Nothobranchius furzeri: one gene and its partners. The main gene of each other region encodes a partner of the protein of the gene in region 2 in a complex. Links are inferred from orthologs where the notes say so. Each region holds a gene or a part of one and is shown on either strand. Other genes may lie near its edges.

Region 1 (5,503 bases), on a different chromosome or scaffold from region 2:
CAGCAGCCCAACTTCCTGTAACCCTTTAACCCTGGAGCATCAGTATTAGTACATTCACCAGCAGCCTGCCATATCCCATACCAAAATGAATGAAAACACCTTAATTGATGGACAAAACCAAGACAGAAGGAAAGGTTTCTGGGTTAAAATTTAAAGAGAGCTCTTTGACAATCCAGGTTGGATCTAAAATCTGGTTTCCTGATGTTCTGTTTTCTCTCTTGATTGGATTAAATTTATTATTCCTAAATGTGGAAATCCTATTTTTATGAGCTGAAAAAATAAAAGTGCAGAAAAAAAACGAGTTTTAATCAATAAGATTTCATCCACACGCCTAAAACGAGACACAATGTTGAAACTCATCTGAAGTAAAACACTGAAACAAATCTTCATCTGATGAATCAAACGTTCAAAATCAAACAAACTTTTTTAATTTAATACAGTTAGTTTTGAATCTTTTTTCTGTTAGAAGTCTGAAGGTTGAACCAATCGTTGTGGGGAATCACTCTAAGCCCTGCCCCTCGCTGCTGATGTTTGTTCTACAGATAAAAAATCAAAACAGGCAAAAGTCCAACTGTGAATGACACAGAACCTTTAAAGTCCAGGGGTCTTATTTATAAAACATTGTGTAAAATCCTTACTAAAACTGTACTTGAGCTCAGCAAAAAAGATTTACTTACGCCTAGTAGGTTTGTGACCTATAAAACATGGAGTACACACAGCTGCACACAATCTCTGCTTTATAAATCACTAACTACCGAGAAATGTGCTCCGGTGTTTTTGGATCACATCCCGGGGTCTTGTTCTGTGTGTGCATGAAGCGGTACAAGTGGTAATGCTGCTGGAATTCACAATGTTATCCTTCTCAGCAGCAGCACTGCAGGTGCCCTCCATGTCCAAAATGTGCGTAAGCCAGGTCCTTAGTCAACTTAAAGTTGCGCACATTTTTCCGCTACGTTTTCTTTTATAAATCCCAAAGTTTGCATAGAAAGTTGCTTGCATAGATTTCTGACCCCGTTTTGCGTGTAAGCAAGCTTGATAAATGAGGTCCCAGCACAGTTTCAGCATCATGCTGCAGCTGGAAGATCAGACTGATGGTAAATGAGTCATGATTTCAGATAGCTTGTCCTCTCAGTGCTTCAGATCTCCAGGAACGTTCTCCTGGGAAAGCTTCCTGAAGCTGAAGTTCCTCATACATGTGGATCATCTATTCGGCTGGAAATTGGAGACGTTCCTGCTTCTAACAGCTGATCAGAGGCAGCTAATGGCCTCAGATGAATCTAATTCTTCAGAAATCAAACTTCTATTGTGATGACTTCAAACCTGCTGCAGTAAATTCAGATAAAACCAGACTGACAGTGAATGATGACCTCAGATAAACGGTTCTGATGGACCACAGAACACTACTTCCACTCCATCTGTGATTCATACTGATGAACAGCCGGGGAGGAGGCAGGAAGCATCATCTGTCTCAGAATTTTCTATGATAGGAGTAGCTCATTAACACCTGGAGGGGAGGGGGAGGGGATTCACACGCAGGTGAGTGTAACATTGTGTGTGTGTGTTTTTTCCAGAGTTCTCTCCTCTCAACCTGTCGTCGGCCTGCTGATGGAGTCACAGGCAGTGTTAAGAGTTGTCCTGTTACCATGGAAACCCTGCATCCACCTGACTTTGCTACTGGTCCAGCTGAGTCTACCTGAAGGTACACACACACAACTTCCTGATTCTAGGAATTTTACTGTGCCTTCACAGGAAGTGAGACGTCAGAATTGAGAAAACTAAGAAAGCAGATTTGAACCAGCAACCTTCCCTCTGAGGGTTGTAGCGTTATCAAGATCCTATTGTCTGCCCTTAACAGCTGCCCCTTCACACAGTAACATCGACAAGGTCGGACGCTTGGTTCAGTATGTTTACATTCCAGGAGAAGAGACAGAAGAAGAGAAGAAGAACGCTTTCCATTGATTAATCAAAGTACTTTATTTATGATAAAGCTAATCAGAGCATATGTTGATCATTAATAATCAGGTGAATGATCTGTGAAATAAAGATGTCATGAGTTATGTGTTTAATGAATAAACAGGACTGCTCTGATTAGCTACAGATGTCTCAGGAGCTGGAATATGGATTCTTCAAAGTAAAAGCCTTTATCCAAAGAGCATGTTCTTTTATTTTGAAGGAGAATTTCTTTAATCAGCAACTCAAGTTAAATCAAACCTTTTTTCCCCTCCTCAGTCAGAGCTTCCTGCCACATTCTGAGGTGCAACTCAGAGTTTGTGGCAGCGACCTTTGACCTGAGCAGTGGCGGCGGTTCAGCTGTCAGCAGGGAGGTGGTGAACGCCGGCTACTGCAGCGCTCTGCGCACCTATGCCATATGCACCAAGAAGATGGCCCGGCCATGTCGAGGTGACCTGGCATATCACTCTGCAGTTCAGGGCATCGAGGATCTGCTGATCCAGCATCACTGCCCCAGGGTGGGGCCCACGGCCCAGCCACGGCCTCTGCCTCAGGGCACACTGTCAGCAGACACCTGCTTGTACGAGAAGAGCTTCTACAGCCGAGAGGGCCGGTTGCCAGAGTTCCTGCACTGCAGCGTGTTTGGAGACCTGCACATTAGAACTTTCGACAACGACTTCCACACCTGTGCTGTGCAGGGGGCGTGGCCTCTCATAGATAATGAGTACCTGTACATACAGGCCACCACCTCACCAGCAAGAGGGGAGGCGTACCCCACAGTTCTGACCAAGGTGAGCCAAAGTTATCATTAAAAAATGGGTTTTCAGTTAACCACACCTTTAAATGCTGTGCATTTTACCCCATTCAGCCATTGTATTAAAGTACAGAAATATAATATTACTTGCCAAAAAAATGGAGCATAGTTGTTGCATGCACGATCAGACCATGCCCATTGGGCAAAAAATGCAGAATTAACATCCGAGCTCAAATGCATAAAGGACACAACTAATGATAAAGTTCAGATAATCAAAATGGCTGAACATTTTTCACTTGAGGCTGAGGCCTTCCATGGAGCTAGCTGCTAATGCTAACTCTGAATTTGTTTCTTGTGTGTGAAGCTAAAACCTCTTTAAAAGCGTTTTTCATGAGGAAACAAGAATGTAACATAGTCATTGGCTCCAAAAAGTAGATTTTGCATGATATAGGACCCTTTTAAGTCCTGATCTGGTCCAAAAATTCTGATCCAGTTCAGGAGATACTCCTATAAGCATTTGAAGCATCTAGATCCAAAGTTCTAACACTATTTTGGTTTCTAAAAAATAACCAACAGAATTCTGATCCTGCGTGATGATCAACCACCACCACGGAAAGCACTGATGTTTGTTGATCATTGGTTTTGTTTCTTGTCAGATCACTGTCATCTTTAAGAACTGGCGCCAGTGTATCGATCAGCAGCTGTACCAGGCGGAGTTGGACAACGTTCCTGCTGCGTTCGCTGACGGGTCGGTGTGGAGTGGCGAGCGGCGGGGTCACCGCAGCCTGACGGTTCGGACCGAAAGTCCAGGCCGTCACACAGAGATTCGAGCGGTTCACATCGGCACACTGGTGGTGGTGCGTCAGAGTGGACGCTCTCTCAGCCTCTCAATCCGCTCACCGCGGGAAATCGTGGATGCTTTTGGACCCGATCATGACCTGCAGCTGTGCATGTGGGGATGCCCCGCCTCTCAGAAGCTCAACACACTCCGCCCCCCTCTACTGAACTCTTTGGCACCTGCTGCTGTCAGTGCTGAAGACCACTGTGCATTGCTGCTTCCTGCCCAAGATGTTTACTATCAGGCATGCGTGTTTGACCTGATCACCAGCGGAGACCTGAACTCCAGTATGGCCGCCGTCAGCGCGCTTCAGGACGCCAGAAACATGATCTCCAACAAGGAGAGGGTTCACCTGCTTCCTGCCTCTCATGCAGGAAATACAAATCCATGTGTGATGCTGCTCCTGCTGCTTGGCATGCTGGGAGTTGTGGGCGGGGCCTAGACAGAGCCCACGGCCTGCTGAGAAGGTGATGAGGTTCTAGGAGCTGCTGAGACAGACAGCGTATTGTTTTCTGAGCTGCAGGTTCTGGTTCAGAAAATCTCAATGACTCACTGTGTCGCCAACTCTCCGTCATCATTTGATCTTCCGACGGAAGAAAGTCAAAAATATTTTAGATTAAATTAGCTGTGAAACGGTGCGAAACAGGGCCGAACAAACCAATTCAGTAATCTTTAGTTTTGTGTTTCCCACGGGTGAAGAGATCAGGTAGACCTGCTCTAGGTGTGTTACGGTTAACCCGGTGGAAGGAGTAACACTTGGTGGTTCGTCTGCCTGAGCTCAAATAAAATCTGTGTCATGTTGAATCAGAATTCATACAAAATGTATCCGTCCTCACTTAGATGCTGCAGTTCCTCACTAAGGTGCTTCAGAGAATCATTGGGTCAGGTTCTAACTGGTTTGCTGGTTGAGACTGGATCCAACTGGTTCTAATTGGATCTAGCTAGTTATGACTCGGTCTAACTGGTTCTAGGTGGTGTTAACTAGGGCATGCAGACTTTAGCTAGGAGGTGTGTTGGCCTGGGAATTTACTTGCTTTTTGACCTCGCGCTGACGCAGGCAGCAGGCTGCATCTTGATCACGTACTTGCTGCTGCACTACATGTAATGTTGGAGTTTTACACTAGGGGACAGAGTAGAGAACTCAGACCAGATAAAATCTCGGGCTTATAGGGTACAACCAAAACAAACATGGTGTCAATACATTGTAATAAATTGTAGGCCAGAATAAGTCAAAAGCAAAAGTTCATCACCTGCCTTAAAAACTTGAGTCATGTCAGTTTAAATGAACACTGAACAAAGCAAAAACTAAGGACAACACGACCGCCCACAATAAATGGGCATAAACACCTCAAATTAGAACAAAATAACTAAGAAAATGACTACCCACAATGCACCTCACCCAATGCAGCTTTCACAGTGGGCAGGGGCATTTTTTAATCTATAAATTGCAGTTTTAAGTTGACTGAATGCACGAGAATGAGGAAAATATAATCATCTGTTGAAAAAATCAAGCAATTTTAAGTTTTCATTATCAAAACACACAAAATTGAGTTCAACAATTAAAACTTATCAGGGAGACTTAGGTGAAATAGGAAAAATAAATTGAAACTACTTTTTGAGACTGTCTTTTTTTACAGTGTAGAAGAGATCAGAAAGTGGTTAATTTTGAGATCCTGACAGAAAATAGGACAGCAGCAGTACAGATAGTATGTAATACCTCTAAACCAGGGGTGAAGTGACAACTCCTCCTTTTGGTTACTCACATATTGCATGTTTGCAAATGTATCACACTGTAATTTTACAGGACACGCACAAACGACTCTAACATTTGCAAACTACGCTAGTCGCCCATTATAAACACGTACGCGTAATTAAAAGCAAGTGTATTTAGGCCCTTACTGGTGACTTTAGTCTCAGCTTCCTTTGACAAGTGTAATGTCCAACAGTGGTCAGTTTTTAGG
Region 2 (5,371 bases):
TGGCTAAATGTCAAAGGATTAAAGCGATGCACTTCCATTTACTGATAAGATGAAGCAAAGCCATCACCCTGCTTCGACACGGCTCACTTAGGTCTCCTTCACTTCATTGATAATCTAAGACGAGTGCGGGACGCAGAGAAAGGGTGAAAACATAATCCTCAAATGTCACTCTAGCGTTTATGGAAATCTTAAGCCACCTGGAGAATGCTGCATTTAAAACACTCGGCTGCAAAAACAGAGAGAATCAATAAACAGATGTTTTAGACTCTTCTATCAGCCAGAAACGTGGAAGGGCCTTCTTTTCCATCTCCTGTGACTGTTAAGCGTATACTTAAGTCCGCTGGCATTCCCCTCTGTGGTGCAAATGGCAGAAGTGTTGGTAAAAGCTACAATTTGCTTTGAGGCGGCCCTGCTTTGAACTTTTACTTCATGCAGATCATAGACAAGCCATAGACATGCAGTTTAATCTGGTTTGTGCGGCAAAGTAGCGCAAACCTCAAACTCTTATCTGTTCAAAGGAGCCATTTAGGAAATTCCACGATCTGGTCCTAAACCCCCCTCCAGAGGCACAAAGACCTCAATTAGACCCATCACTACTCATTTGATGTGGGAAAGCCCCCTCTCTCATTCTCGCTCCTCTTCACCCAATCCTACTCTTCTTTTTTTGTTTTTTATCAGCACCCAAATCCCCCTCTTTCCCCTCCGTCCTTTTAGAGATCCTCTTCTCTTGTCTTCTCTGTCACCGTTTTCTCAGTTCCTTTCTGCAACTGTTCTCGATCTCGGTCTGGAACTGCTGTGTGAACAAGTTTATGCTTGTCAAAAGCACGCGAACCACAGATTTCCACAGCTTTATTTTTGTGCCACTCGCCAAAACAAAAGATAGATGCTAATATTGGATCGGCCATCTCTGGCAGCTGCGTCCTGTGCTACGGTGGAAAGGCTCTATTTGACTCGAGTTATTCCTGAAAACCAATTGTCCGAGCGAAAGGAGCATGGCGTGGCAGACGTGACGAAGGCTTGGAGCTGTTTGCTTTGATGTGCTGCATTAACATCTGTAGATCCGTGCTTATTACAGGGGGAACAATCCCTCGACGCGATACGGGAAGCCTAATAACCGCGCGGCTGTTAGCATAGGACGAAAAGAGCCAGGAGAAGACGTGTAAATGTCAACGTGTGTTGGCTGAGTGCAGAGGTTTCCAGCGGTGAGCTGGGAGCAGTCACTCAACCCTGCTGCTCAGGGTTGTTTGTAGTGTGTCAGTGTAGCCACTTGGTGTCATTGCACTAGGCCTTTGGAGAGCACCCAAGCAACCACTCAACCACCCCTCTGACTCACCCCTGATGGAAAGAAACTTCTCCACTCAAACACAGGACTCTGTATGAGGACTCTGCGCAGGGCCCCAATGGACCCAGCAACGTGGGTCACATTAAGATAAATAGATGTGCAAATCTACTATACCGGGAATAAGATGTTTATTATACAAAAACGTAAACATCGAGTGCTCCTGCTTTTAAAGCTGTTATAAACAAAGCATCATTTACTTTGTTAAAATACTGTTTAAATCCACATTTTAACAGCTGATCCAGAGTCTGCAAAACGTTTATTTTCATCCGAGAGGTGAATGAGTCATGTTTAAATATAGGTTTTTAAATTCAACTGAACTGAGACTTGTAGTTCAACTATCGCTGTCTTCTCCAAACTGGTTCACGCGTAATGATGCACAACTGGAAGCAACAGGAAGAAGGGAAGCCACGCCTCCTCTACGGCGTTACCAAGAGCTAATTTGAGTCTTGTTAAAGGTGACTCAGTCTGACACGGTGACTTCGTCATCGTGTGTGTTGCTCTGATGTCGGTTGTTTTTTGAAGTTGCAGGGTGACGTCTATCACCTGCGCACAGGCGCACCGCCCTTTATGCTGCTCCCGTGGTGCGTGTCTGGAAAAACAGTTTTCAGAATCCCACGCAAACACCATCAATTATTAAGAAACTAATGACCCCGGGGATACCGCCGCCCCTGATGTTTCTGAAGCCTGTGACAGCTGTGCTGGAGGGATGTTTGTCTAAATGTTGCACTGCTGCTTAGGTGAGAAAAGTCAACTTTGATGTGATTTTTGTGCATCAATCTTTAAGTTAAAGCATTTTTTAAGGTTGCAAATACCTTCGGAGCATGTCATCTGTAAATGACTAAACCTTCAGAAAACAGGGAAGACTCTGAAGTTCAGTGTTGACGATCTGAGTCATGTTTAAATATAGGTTTGCGCTGTCTGAGAGAGACATGTAAAGGTATGTCACTAATATATACCTTCATGGTGAAAGCTTCTAATCGTGTTGGCCTTGCTGGCGGCTCTCTCTGCGTGCTTCCCCATGCTCTTGGGCCGCTTAGTGCTGTGGTCTCCGTTCGCAGAGTGCATCCGGTAAAGGTCCACCATGTACTGGGGCACCACGGCTTGTTTGCTGGGGGTCGGCCTGCGTCTCAGCCCGAACATGTTGAGAAGCCGCAGCTCGAACTCGTTGAGGAAGCTCTCCGACTGCTCAGGGGTCTGTTTCCCGGATTCGCTGTACTTCCTCCGGCCTACCTCGGGGATGAGTCCCGCAGCACCTTCCAGCAGCACCTGAGCGAGCATCAGTACCATGAGAGAGCGGACCACGGCGACCATGATCAGTCAGTCCCTGTGGAGAAAGTTGGTTTCTGTCAATACACTGGCAGGCAATGTGGTATTGACGTGAGGTGGTCCCAGCTAGGCTCTCGCGGCAGCAGTTCCCAAATCCCCCCTCAGAGCGTAAAACTGAAGGGGAGCAGGTTAAAAAGGGGGAGACACCTCTTCACTTTGAAGTGCAGAAGAAAAAGAAAGAAAGAAAGAAAGAAAGAAAGAAAGAAAGAAAGAAAGAAAGAAAGAAAGAAAAACCCAGAGGCTAAACTGCTCCTCTAGTTTGGGTTGAACATGAACCCTAACATGAAATATCAAGGTGAAAAACTAATGACAGAGGTGGATTAAACAGACAAATCAAAGGATTTGAAGGGAAACGCTGCAGACAAAAGGTCTCCAGCGAGAAGAGATAAGAGATCTTGTTGCAGATATGAAAGTCCATGCAGAGAGAAGGATCAAAGGAAGAACACGCATCAGTTCCAGTCCCACTGCGCGCTGTTTGCATGTAATCATAAAGGATAGTTACTTCAAGAGGCTTGCAGGTGTTAGATCTGACGTGTGCCCCACAGCCAGGCATCAGAAACACAGACGGAGTCAAACAACTTCCACACAGACAACTTTTACCTCTATTTTCATTTTCTGTTTCTCCGTGGCTCAACAGGCGGAGGCTTTACGCACGAATTTATTATTAGAAACAAATGAGCTGTCACTTGTGAAGTGACCTTTCTGTGTTCAGTCCAAGTGCGGATTCAGGTTAAAACCTCCACATCGATGGTTATTCTTTATTCTAGCGATTTACCTGACGAGAACGCGCGGTGTCCGGTCGTCGTTCCACCTTTAAGCTCCGATAAATTCCACATTAATTCGTGTTTAATCCACGCTGCTTCTGCTTGGGGGACCGAAAACAGCCCGCGCCCTCCGCCGATCGCTTCTCGCACATATTCTCACCAGCTGCGCGTCGGGTTCGGGTCTTGCTCAGTCCGGAGAGGAAAGAAAAAAAGTAGAAAAATTAAGTCTACGAGGAAGCGGCTGCGCGCAGGCATAGCCGAACTAAGTGCGAGGAAGCTTGTCTGGACATTTTTAAAATTAGAAAAAAGAAAAGCTGAAAGTGGAGAAACGTGGAGCGTCGCGCGATGTTCGTGGAGAGATGAGCGCAGTGAAGTTGGTGCTCGGAGAGGGAGAGCTCTCCGGAGCGGGTCTATTGATTGGTGCCTTCTCTTTCCCCTGCGACGCTTTTTGTCCTACAGTGATGTCACTGGGCTGTCAGTCATCTGTCCAAACCGCACCACTTCCTGTGCGTAACTCCCGCAGGAGAAAAATCCCTCATTTCTAACTTCACAATGGAAAACTGTTTAAACTTTATTCCTCTCCCCTTCAGCAAACATCTACAAATGTGATTTGGATTAAAATCTGTAACAGGACCACCAAGAACAGGTGGAAGAGCTGGCAGGAGTTTATGAGCTGAGTTTATTACTACAATTTTTAACCAAGTATTTCCCCTCAGAATGTGTACTCAGCATATTTGAAGAAAAAAAAGTACTTTTTGTTTGCTTCTTTTGACAAACAAGTACTTTTGTTTGTTTGTTTTGCCAAAATAGATTCAGTGCATTTGAGATTCAAAAGGTTGCCAATGATCAAAATGCAAAATGTAGTGAGAAAAATGAACTATGTGGGACATTTGCAGTTATTAACAGTTTTTTCCTTTTAGCAAACACAACACGTTATTAAGGAATTACTTAAATCAACCAAATAGAAAGAATAAACAGGCTTCATCATATAATTTTACATTAACCCTTTGATGCATAATGGTCACTATACAGTGGACAGGTATTCAAAATTGTTATTTGTTTATTTTACAGCTGTTGAAGACTTTATTGCAATTGAGCTCCTTCATTTGGACTTCAGTAAGTCAAGCCAACATATTTCGTGTTCAGAATGCACGCTGTCCCCTGAGATGGACATGTAATAAATTATTTGTAAATTAACAAAATACTACAAATAATATTTGCTGAAATTTGTTTCATTCACACCTACAGATGAATGAAAAAAAAGTTTAAAAAATCATGGTTGAAGATTTCATAATTCATGCATCAAAGGGTTAATTTGTAATAAATATGACGAAACCAATTCCTTTCAACCTCTTAATTTCCTGTTATATGAACAAAATATCATTTTTTATCACTTTTAAAGGACAGTTGTGTTAATTAACTATCAAGTTTCTAAATGATCAAACTTGAGGTTTGTTGCCACGGATAAGAAAAAAAATCAATTCATTTGAAAAATGTAAACCCTAAACTGCTTTTAACCTGTTAAACCTGCAGCTCTTCCCAGCTGACGTCATCCGTCCAATATGGCGCACCTGTTGACATTTCTTTGCCATTACCTGAAACCCCTTCAACGGAAGGTCTAAATATGTATGCCTTTGCTTCACGAGTGAAACCATTTTGTATTTTAAGAATTATTATGAATCAGTGGAATAAGATAAAGACTGAACGTTTTGTGGCAATGTCGTAACTGACCATTATTTTGAACTCTCGTTGGTTTTTGTAAAGATAAATACATAAAACAAAGAAAGAAATAACTACAAATGTCTTATTTTTATATTTACAGTAATAGTCTGTAGACTGTTCTTTGAACAGCCTTAGTTTGGTGAAACAGAGATTAGTTTGGACCGGCCTACTAAACATAAATACAAATTGATTTCTGTGATTTTAAAATAAATTGGAT
Region 3 (4,891 bases), on a different chromosome or scaffold from region 2:
ACGGTTTAGATGTTTTTTAGTAGAAATTGGCCTGGATTTGCTCCAGCAGTGAATGTGAAGCACTTAGGAGGTATAAAAGAACTTAATCACATTTGTAGAAACTGTAATTTTCTATAATCAGGGTTTCTTAATGACTCATTAAACATTTGTGTTATTTAGCTTTTAAAGTAATTACCTTCTTTTAAAAAGCTATTCTTGGAAGCACATGAGAGGCTTTTTTTAGTGCACAAGACTGTGGACAAAAGAGGAAACAAAGCAGCAGCAAGTGGCACCTGTGCAAACACGGCTCTGGTGGTAAAAGATGTGCTGCTGGGTAGAGTCCTCTCTCTGTGGCAGATTAATTCAGACGGGGCCATCACAGGAGCTGTTGTCCTCTATTATTTGTTTCATCCAGTCACTTTTTAAAGAAACGAGACAGGAAACAGAAGCTGAGGGAGGTGTGTGAAGGGACGGGGCTGGTTTGACACAGACATCAGAGTACGTGGCTTGGTCCTGTGACAATGGCTCCTTGGTGTCCCGTGTAACCCAGCTCGGAGAGTCCTGACCAGTCCCACTTAATTAGCTGCAGAGTATCTCGCTGTGTCCTGGCCCCGCGCCACTCCCCGGAGCATAGTTCTGGGGGTTCACAGGCAGGTTTTCCAGCGCTATGAATAGATCGTCTTTGTGTCTGCAAACTGAGGCCTGATTTTACATGGCCTGGACTCGTGTTTTTGGAGGGCGTTTACCTTGGCCTCCCCCCTCGTTGAGCCAGCCCTGTAATGTGACACTGGAGTGGGGTAGAAGGGGGGCTGAGGTGGCACGTATAGCACAAACTTGTTCTCAGTGACAAGATGAAAAAAATCTTCTCTTTTATTACGTGTTTTAGTCGTGAGTTCATGAATGCTGCTTTCACTTAGTTCTGAAGGCGAACACGTCTGATGTTTGGTGCTGCTCTCTCCTCCTGCAGCTGACGATCATCTTCAAGAACTTCCAGGAATGCGTGGAGCAGAAGACGTACCACGCCGAGACGGACGAGCTGCCTGCTGCGTTCGCCGACGGCTCCAGAAATGGTGGCGATCCAAACGGAGTCAGCACCCTGCGAGTGGTGGAGAAGGTGCCCGGGCAGCACGTGGAGATCCAGGCCAGGTATATCGGGACAACCATTGTAGTCCGGCAGGTGGGCCGCTACCTGACCTTCGCCATTCGAATGCCAGAGGAGGTTGTGAATTCGGTGGAGGAGGGTGATAACCAGGACTTGTACTTGTGTCTTCATGGCTGCCCCGCCAACCAGCGCATCGACTTCAGGAGTGTTAGAACCAGAGCGGGGGAGGCTCACAGCACGGGCAGGCCAAGGAGCAGCTCTGGGACGCAAGGCTTCACCTTCAAGTCCGCCAAGGCCAAGTGTAAAGAGCGGCTCCCAGTGGAGGATCTGTACTTCCAGTCCTGTGTGTTTGATCTGCTGTCCTCTGGAGACATTAACTTCACCATGGCCGCCTACTACGCCTTTGAGGATGTAAAAATGCTCCACTCAAACAGCAAGAGATACCACATCTTTGAAAAAGATGCTTTAAGCGGCGCAACACGAGAGGGCAAAAATGTACTGCTGGTCTTCCTCCTGAATGTCTTAGCTGTCCTATTGTGGACGGAGTGCTGCACAATCCATCTATAGTCGGTTTACAGCAGTGTCTTCCTGCCTTTAATGTCAGTCTGTGTCATTTCCCAGCCTCTCGCATCTGTTCTGCCTCTTGATGACTGGAGGTTTCACCCGTAGGTCAGTGCTGCCTCAAGTCTTATTTCAGTCGTCTAGTCTCATCCTGACGTCAATACAAAGACGGGCTCACCACCTATCATCACGTGTATTTAACTGGTTTTAATCTTTGAAGAGGGCAGCAGTGGGAGAGCTCTGGATATCCACCTGGGATTAAATCCCACACTCTCATCAGGGCTGCGTGCCTGTGGGAAAGCCGGACAAGATGATCTTTTGCAGAAAGAGGGGTTCGCTGATCCTCCCTTCTCCTGATCCGCACATTGGTGCCGAGCCAGGGAAGCTCTCTGTGGCTCATGTGGCTGAGCAGGAGGACCTGACAGAGGCTTTTGTTAACCTTTTAGGCCAGAAGCAGCTCTATGTTTGATTAGCTTCCAGCTTTGGAAAAGCCCGAGCCTTTCTGGAGGAAGCATCCAGCCAAAAGGATGTCATAGCAGCGTCTCCAGTTGTCTGCTGTGGAGATTAATGGGTCATATTGTTAGGTTTGTGTGTGTGTGTGTGTGTGTGTGTGTGTGTGTGTGTGTGTGTGTGTGTGTGTGTGTGTGTGTGTGTGTGTGTGTGCGCGTGTGTGCGTGCGTGCGTGCGTGCGTGCGCGTGGAATATGTGTGCAGAATCTTGCATCAGTGGTTGATTTTGTGTGTTTGTAAGTGCAGGAATTCCCTTATATATATGTATGTATGTATGTATGTATGTATGTATGTATGTATGTATGTATGTATGTATAGGGAGAAAAAAAAAAGAAACTCCAGTGGGAGAAATTTTTCTCATGTCTTTGTGCTGCACCCAAAATTTAGCCGAAGCTCGGATTTGGGCCAAGTGTGAACTAATCTAACCTCGATCGGCCAATCAAACTCTTTATAATGAACCCAAGCTGTACAGCGATGCGGGTTCCGGTGTTTCTGCCGTCAAAGACGTCACCTCTACCTGGTTAAGCATTTACAGACTTCCATTGTAGCGGGCTGACCCGAGTCTCTGTGGCTAAACAATATGTCTGGAAACATGCTTTCATGGCTTCAGTCGCTTGCCAAAGAACGCGCTCTTGTGCCAACATTTGCCTGACGAGTACATTTCCATCTCCTACCCTCAAACATTAGGACTTAGTTGTATATAACTCATGTTTGTTGGTGATTTCTCGCCGCGTGATGACGCAATACCTTCACCTTTTCTTGTGTTTGGTGTTCTCTCTCTTCCCCCTGCTGAGATACGTTTGGTCTTCCCCGGTAGACGCAGTTTTAAGATCACTTATCGATTACACTGAAGTGCACGGCAGAGTTATGCATAAACAGTCCTACAAACAGCTGATTGTGACTTTAGATATACTGTGTGTTTTAACAGTAAATGGTTGTACTATGTGAGATTGTACATACGTTTTGTGGAGTTGTGTTGAAATTTTGTATCTCACCTGTTGTGTTTTGAATTCACCACTCCAGTTTTTGTACACAAAAAGAGAATCTTTCAGTGAATGTGAGCCTTTTATGTTTTCTTTTTAAAAAAAGGGACTTTTAATTTGAATTTTTTTTAAATTGTTTTCAACAACATGAACGCCACAGAACAGATCAGTCTCCACTGTTATTGGTGAATCGATGACACACACTTAAAAAAAAACAACCCACCTTAACTCGGAAAAAGAGAATGTAGGGAAATGTTTTAGTGGCGCTCATGTTTTTGAGTTTAAAGCACTTTATGTTTTTTATTCAGCTGTTTTTGTTTTGAGCATGTGTTGGTTAAAAAGAGTAAAATAAAAGGCTGAATGGGAAAAGCAAGAAAGATCAAACAGTTTAATGTAAATATCATGTGGTCCCTCATGCCAGCTGTTGGTATTGTAAGTTATTTATTGAATAAAAGACAACATCATGTGAATGAGCTGCTGCCTGTGTCTCCTGCATCTTTAGAACAAAATCAGTTTTTTTTATAACTTGCAGTTTTTTACTGCCCCCTGGTGGACCTTTGTGTTAAAACAAAAATTAAGACTCCTTGAAGAATTGAACATTTATATATACACTGTTCAAAAAATAACAATAAAGGGAATACTTCAACAACACAATGTAACTCTATGTCAGTCACACTTCTGTGATATCAAACTGTCCACTTAGGAAGCAAAACCGACACAATCAGTTTCACATGCTGTTGTGCAAACGGAAAAGGCAACAAATTATAGGCAATTAGCAAGAGATCCCCAATAAAGGAGTGCTTCTGCAGGTGGTGACCACAGACCACTCCTCAGTTCGTATGATTTCTCGCTCATGTTTTGGTTCACTTATGAGTGCTGGCGGTCCTTGCACTCTAGTGGCAACATGAGTCTACAACCCACACAAGTGGCGCAGGTAGCGTCCAGAGCATGGAGGCGCTACCAGGAGACAGGCCAGTACATCAAGAGATGTGGAGGAGGCCATTGGAGGGCAACAACCCAGCAGCAGGACTGCTACCTCTGTTTTTGCACAAGGAGGAACAGGAGGAGCACTGCCAGAGCCCTGCAAAATGACCTCCAGCGGGCCACAATGCATGTGTCTGATGAAACGGTCAGAAACAGACTCTGTGAGGGTGGTTTGAGGGCCCAACATTCATATGTAGAGTTGTGCTTACAGCCCAACACCGTGCAGGATGTTTAGCATTTGCCAGAGAACACCAAGATTGGCAAATTGGCCACTGGTGCCCTGTGCTCTTCACAGATGAAAGCAGGTTCACACTGAGCACATGTGACAGACATGACAGAGTCTGGAGATGCCATGGAGAGCTGCAATATCCTCCAGCATGACTGATTTGGCAGTGGGTCAGTTATAGTGTGGGATGGCATTTCTTTGGGGGGGCCTTCCATGTGATCGCCAGAGGTAGTTTGTCTGTCATTAGGTACCGAGATGAGATCCTCAGACCCCATCTGCTGGTGCGGTTGGACCTGCGTTCTTCCCCATGCAAGACTCATGTGGCTGGAGTGTGTCAGCAGTTGTTGCAAGACGAAAGCATTGATGCTATGGATTGGTCCCATCGTTCCCCAAGCCTGAATCCTATTGAGCACATCTGGGACATCATGTCTCGATCCATTCACCAATGCCAAGTTGCACCACAGATTGTCCAGGAGTTGGTAGATGCTTTAGTCCAAGTCTGGGAGGAGATCTCTCAGGAGACCATCTGCCACATCATCAGAAGCAT
Region 4 (4,919 bases), on a different chromosome or scaffold from region 2:
GATGAACACTTCCTGTTCTGTGTCTTTGGGATATCGTTCACGTTCAGTCTGCAGCTTGTACCTGTTAAAACACACACACACACACACACGCACACACACACACACGAGTAAGTCCTAAAAACATCTGCAGGAAATGTTTGGATCTGGTCTTTTTTCCTGATATGGGCATTTAGGTGTGTGTTTATGTATAATAAATATGAATAACGTTGGTTTTGAGGAGAATTATTAGATGATTTTAGTTCTGATTGTTGGTTTAATCATAAAATTATTTAATATCTGAAGAGTTCTAATCCTGGATTATTGGGGTTCTGATATCCATCTTTAATCAATCGAACATCTTCAATATTAAAATAAATGTAAATGATAAATGACCTGCACTTGTATAAGACCTTTCAGAGCCAGAGGACTCCAAAGCGCTTTGATCTACAGTGTATCATTCACCCAGTCACACCAACTTGGTCACTGGTACCCACAGAAGCCCTTTTTAAAGAAAAAGTAATAAAAATAAGACTTGCAGACTCCTGCTGACAATAAGCTCTAGACATGAAGCCGTCTCTTGGACGAGAGGTAAAACATCTTCAAGATAACAAGAAAAGTCCTGTTGTTTTCCTGACGTTGTTACCAGATGATATTACATATGTTCTTTTCCGGATTTGGTTAACTGGTGTGAAATGATGCTGTTGTTACACGATGTTACATGCTGTTGTTACACGATGTTACATGCTGTTGTTACACGATGTTACATGCTGTTGTTACATGATGTTACATGCTGTTGTTACATGATGTTACATGCTGTTGTTACACGATGTTACATGCTGTTGTTACATAATGTTACATGCTGTTGTTACATGATGTTACATGCTGTTGTTACAAGCTGTTGTTACACGCTGTTGTTACATGATGTTACATGCTGTTGTTACACGATGTTACATGCTGTTGTTACATAATGTTACATGCTGTTGTTACATGATGTTACATGCTGTTGTTACAAGCTGTTGTTACACGCTGTTGTTACATGATGTTACATGCTGTTGTTACACGATGTTACATGCTGTTGTTACATAATGTTACATGCTGTTGTTACATGATGTTACATGCTGTTGTTACAAGCTGTTACATGCTGTTGTTACATGATGTGGGTAAATGAGCATTGTATTCCTGCTAGTATAAAATAGTTGTTGATATCATCATTTTTAATTATGACTAGTAAAAAATAAAATCCAGATTAAGATTAATTATATTGCAGCCATGTAAAATAGGTATTACAAATAGGTGTGCTTGTTGATAAAATGTTAAAATGCCTTGCCATCGTGGGTCAGGTCTGCTTTCGCAGCCAAACATGGTCCATGCTTCAGCTCACACCATGAACGGGGAGGTGCTTTATTAAATAACTGGTGTTTCCATTTTAAGTGACAAAAAACGGAACACTGGTGTTACATTTAGCTCTGTTGCTGTTTACTGTGAAGCAATTTGTGTCAAAATCACTTTTGCGTCTGTGAACAATGCTATATAAATGGAAAAAAAAAAGATGTTGTAATGTTGTAATCTCATTTAATCTCTGATGCTGTAACCTGATGTTGGTCCCTGATGTTGTAACCTCATTTTAATCCCAGATTTTTGTCCCTAATGTTGTAACCCGATGTTGGTCCCTGATGCTGTAATCTCATTTTAATCCCTGATTGTGTAACCTGATGTTGGTCCCTGATGTTGTAACCTGATTTTAATCCCTGATGTATAAACTGATTTTGAACCCTGATGTATAAACTGATTTTAAACCCTGATGTTGGGTCCCGATGTTGTAACCTGATTTTAATCCCTGATGTCAGCCGTTGATGTTGTAACCTGATTTTAATCTATGATGTTGGTCCCTGATGTTGTAACCTGATTTTAATCCCTGATGTTATAAACTGATTTTAAACCCTGATGTTGGTCCCTGATGTTGTACCCTCATTTTAATCCCTGATGTTGTGACTTGATTTTAATCCCTAATGTTGTAACCCGATTTTGGTGCCTGATGTTGTCTAGTTCTAATCTTATAGTCTTTTGTCCGGTTGTGTTGTTACCTGATGTCATGACTGATGACTATGCTGTTAAAACCCGTTCTCACACAATCTCATCTCTTTTGTGTGGCTTTTTCATCAGCTTTTCTGATGCCACTAGGCTAAAGAAATTCCTTTGTTGAAAGGTGACGCGTCTCCTCCACTCATAACGTGACTTGGGATCAGTCATGTGACCCGCTGTGGCACATTAGGACATTAATACATATTTTGATATCAGTACCAACCAAATGTTTTTCCTTAAAGAGGTCCAGGGTTCTGGCACCCATCCCTAGGTGTCAGTCAACCTTTTTTATGGTCTGCTAAGTTTCTTCTCTGCTGGAGGTTGTGTTTACCGTTTGTATCACTGCTGTAGCGCGGGAGCTGACTACGTCACGTGTTCGGACTATTTTGACCCGAGGCTGCGCTGCGTTCGCAATTATTGATTCCGCCACATTTTATTTATGCTACGTTTAGTAAAAACGATAGTGGTTGACAAATGAAACTTAAAAGGACAAATACAGTACAGATTTACATATAGCACACATTTTAAGACCCAGTTGTGAAAATTACTTTTTGAAGACTTTATAAGTTCTTATTTTAAAATTCCTAAATTCCAGACCCAGCGGGAACCCTGCATCAGTTCCACGTCAACCAGATTTTTAACAGGGTTTAAGACAATCCTTGTGAATGTTTTTGCTATTGTGCATCCCTACGGAAAACATCTTCCCCAGATGTGAAAAGCCGTTTAGCATTTCTAGAGCTGCTTTCAACCCATTTCCAGGTGAGTTCTTACCTGCAGTAGAAGATGATGGTGACGCAGACCAGAGTGCAGCAGCAAATTGTCATGGAGATGAGGAAGGCTAGCCAATGGGAGCGATTCTCTGCAGAAACAAGCAAAATTGACTTAAACCTGCAGCTGTATTTTTACCTGAATCACTGCTCTCAGATCAGCTGACAGGTTACCGGTGCTAATCTGTGGCGGTAGGGTGGGCCTCAGGTCTCCGTTACAGAAATCTGTGTTACAGCACTCGATTGTCCTCCTGGTCTGAGCATTGGGAGAGTCCTGTCATCCAACCAGAGAGCAGAAAATAAACATCTGTGGACTCTTTTAACATCTCAGGTCAACCAGAGACGACATCCATCTATCATTACTGATTTATTGTAAAAACTGAAAAAAATAAAAAAATAAAAATTAAATAAAAAAGATAAATATGATATAAAGCACATTTTAAACAGAAACCATTTTCAAGAAACTTTTTGCAGCAAATCTTCACTTATTCCAGTTTCAAAACCAAGGTTAAAGAACCGTGTTACCGTTCAAAACCAACAGAATCCATTTATTAAAGGCAACAAGAGGCAAAAATATCAGCCAAAAAAATCTATCAAATGGCTCCAGCCTGCAGAGATCTGAAGCTCCTTTAGGTCTGAGCAGCATCTGACCTTGTGTTTGTGCAGGTGAACCCACCGAAGTGTGTGTGACATCAGCATACCTTGCACTGGAAGTGAGAGCCTTCATACTTCATGCAGCCGGAGGTGAGCTGGGAATCTCCGTTCTCGTCCTCCTCGATGATGGCGAAGCACTGACCGTTGGTCCTGAAGACACAAACGCACTAATGCACCGCTTTGAACCAGCAACCAGATTCATCTGAGACTTCATGGGGGGGACCAACAGCATCTCAGCCCCGAGTCATTTAGCTCAGAAATAACTTCCTGATATTTGTATTTGTCTGTGAAGCTAAAAACAAATCCAATCGCACACGTATGATGGATTTAACTGTTCTGCTTCTGTTTATGAATGACAGCAGTAAAGTGGAGAACACCCCATAATGCCCAACTGGGTTCAGATGGAGTGCCTACTCACTGGCAGGTGTTGTTGACGGCGTCGTCAGGACAGTGACCTGAGCAGTAGCAGCTGAGGAATCGGGGGAGGTCTTCAGGCGCGATGGTGGAGTCCTCGCCGGGACGCCGGGCCTCAGGTTTCTCACCAACCCCCTGCAGAACGTGGTCAGGGTTCTGACCCGCGGCTGCACGGATAAATGAGGAATCAGCACTGGATTTACAGCTGGTCACACAAACAGACCCACAGATTAAAGGTGATTTTATTTGATGTGGAACAGCTGCAGCTCAGTGAGTCGAGTCAGATTTATCAGAGGAGGTGAAACATTCCTCCTCTATCAGCTGATGACAGGCTGCATGGAGGCACAGAGGAGGAGTGCCATATATGGAGCATAAAGCCAGGGGTCAAAGGGCACACACATGCACCACAGTTCAAACCAGTATGAAGCCTAATCTGGTTATTTCTGATACTAAAAATGTAAAAACTGTACTTCGTAGTGCTGGTTGGTGATTTTCTCCAGACTAACGTTTCTGTAAATGTTTCCTTATTAAGGCTCTCCTCAGAGTAAACACACACACACACACACACACACACACACACACACACACACACACACACACACACACACACACACACACACACACACACACACACACACACACACACACACACACACACTCTCTCTCTCTCTCTCTCTCTCTATCTCTCCCTCTCTCTGAACTGCCCGGTCGTCTCTCAGCTTTCCCAGTTCCATCGTGTTTTCCTTCCAATTGAAGCGGACTAACTCACACCAGACAGAGGAACCAGACTTACGCTGAGCCCTGATTGGCTGAGAGCCTGTGAGTGACAGGAAGAAAGAGGGCCTGTGGAGTCTGGAAATATCTCCCTTGTGTGTCAACATGTGTAAGTAATTGCAGCGTTAGTCAGAGTGGAGACTGAGGTCTGGCAGAGCATGCTGGGTAATTCAGCCGGGAAGCTTTTTTTATCCCCCATGTGAGCAGCTGATGAGTCTGGGCCAGGAATTATTTCACTAAAAAACTTTA

Evidence for each region. Proteins that work in one complex are often made in the same cells at the same time.
Region 1: the proteins of bmp2b (region 2) and hjv are in contact, whole or in part, in a crystal structure (PDB 4UI1), measured with the Homo sapiens proteins. The link is inferred for Nothobranchius furzeri from reciprocal best matches to the Homo sapiens genes BMP2 and HJV. Residues at the interface, in NP_001191.1 of Homo sapiens: Phe331, Pro332, Ala334, Asp335, Leu337, Asn341, Ile344, Val345, Leu348, Ser351, Val352; in NP_001366281.1 of Homo sapiens: Leu40, Asn43, Tyr46, Val47, Tyr86, Leu101, Ala102, Ser105, Ala106, His108, Gly109, Ile110, Asp112, Leu113.
Region 3: the proteins of bmp2b (region 2) and rgma are in contact, whole or in part, in a crystal structure (PDB 4UHY), measured with the Homo sapiens proteins. The link is inferred for Nothobranchius furzeri from reciprocal best matches to the Homo sapiens genes BMP2 and RGMA. Residues at the interface, in NP_001191.1 of Homo sapiens: Val308, Gly309, Trp310, Asp312, Trp313, Met371, Tyr373, Leu374, Asp375, Glu376, Lys383, Tyr385, Met388; in NP_064596.2 of Homo sapiens: Arg91, Arg94, Gly95, Leu97, His100, Ser101, His104.
Region 4: the proteins of bmp2b (region 2) and bmpr1aa are in contact, whole or in part, in a crystal structure (PDB 2QJ9), measured with the Homo sapiens proteins. The link is inferred for Nothobranchius furzeri from reciprocal best matches to the Homo sapiens genes BMP2 and BMPR1A. Residues at the interface, in NP_001191.1 of Homo sapiens: Lys297, Pro330, Phe331, Pro332, Leu333, Ala334, Asp335, His336, Ser339, Asn341, Ile344, Val345, Leu348, Asn350, Ser351, Val352, Asn353, Ser354; in NP_001393490.1 of Homo sapiens: His66, Cys67, Pro68, Asp69, Ile77, Thr78, Asn79, Phe83, Ile85, Cys100, Met101, Lys102, Glu104, Gly105, Phe108, Gln109, Asp112, Arg120, Ile122.

Annotation. Positions count from the first base shown.
Region 1 is NC_091745.1:60,116,795-60,122,297, forward strand, and holds the end of hjv (hemojuvelin), read left to right. Parts: intron 1-1,571; 5' UTR 1,572-1,605; coding exon 1,606-1,699; intron 1,700-2,229; coding exon 2,230-2,741; intron 2,742-3,360; coding exon 3,361-3,984; 3' UTR 3,985-4,216; downstream 4,217-5,503. UniProt on the Homo sapiens protein: Acts as a bone morphogenetic protein (BMP) coreceptor. Through enhancement of BMP signaling regulates hepcidin (HAMP) expression and regulates iron homeostasis.
Region 2 is NC_091742.1:22,692,300-22,697,670, forward strand, and holds the start of bmp2b (bone morphogenetic protein 2b), read right to left. Parts: upstream 3,622-5,371; 5' UTR 3,444-3,621; intron 2,667-3,443; 5' UTR 2,654-2,666; coding exon 2,299-2,653; intron 1-2,298. UniProt on the Homo sapiens protein: Growth factor of the TGF-beta superfamily that plays essential roles in many developmental processes, including cardiogenesis, neurogenesis, and osteogenesis. Induces cartilage and bone formation.
Region 3 is NC_091744.1:69,273,313-69,278,203, reverse strand, and holds the end of rgma (repulsive guidance molecule A), read left to right. Parts: intron 1-946; coding exon 947-1,648; 3' UTR 1,649-3,604; downstream 3,605-4,891.
Region 4 is NC_091752.1:44,599,089-44,604,007, forward strand, and holds part of bmpr1aa (bone morphogenetic protein receptor, type IAa), read right to left. Parts: intron 4,064-4,919; coding exon 3,901-4,063; intron 3,633-3,900; coding exon 3,530-3,632; intron 3,103-3,529; coding exon 3,003-3,102; intron 2,921-3,002; coding exon 2,833-2,920; intron 62-2,832; coding exon 1-61. UniProt on the Homo sapiens protein: On ligand binding, forms a receptor complex consisting of two type II and two type I transmembrane serine/threonine kinases.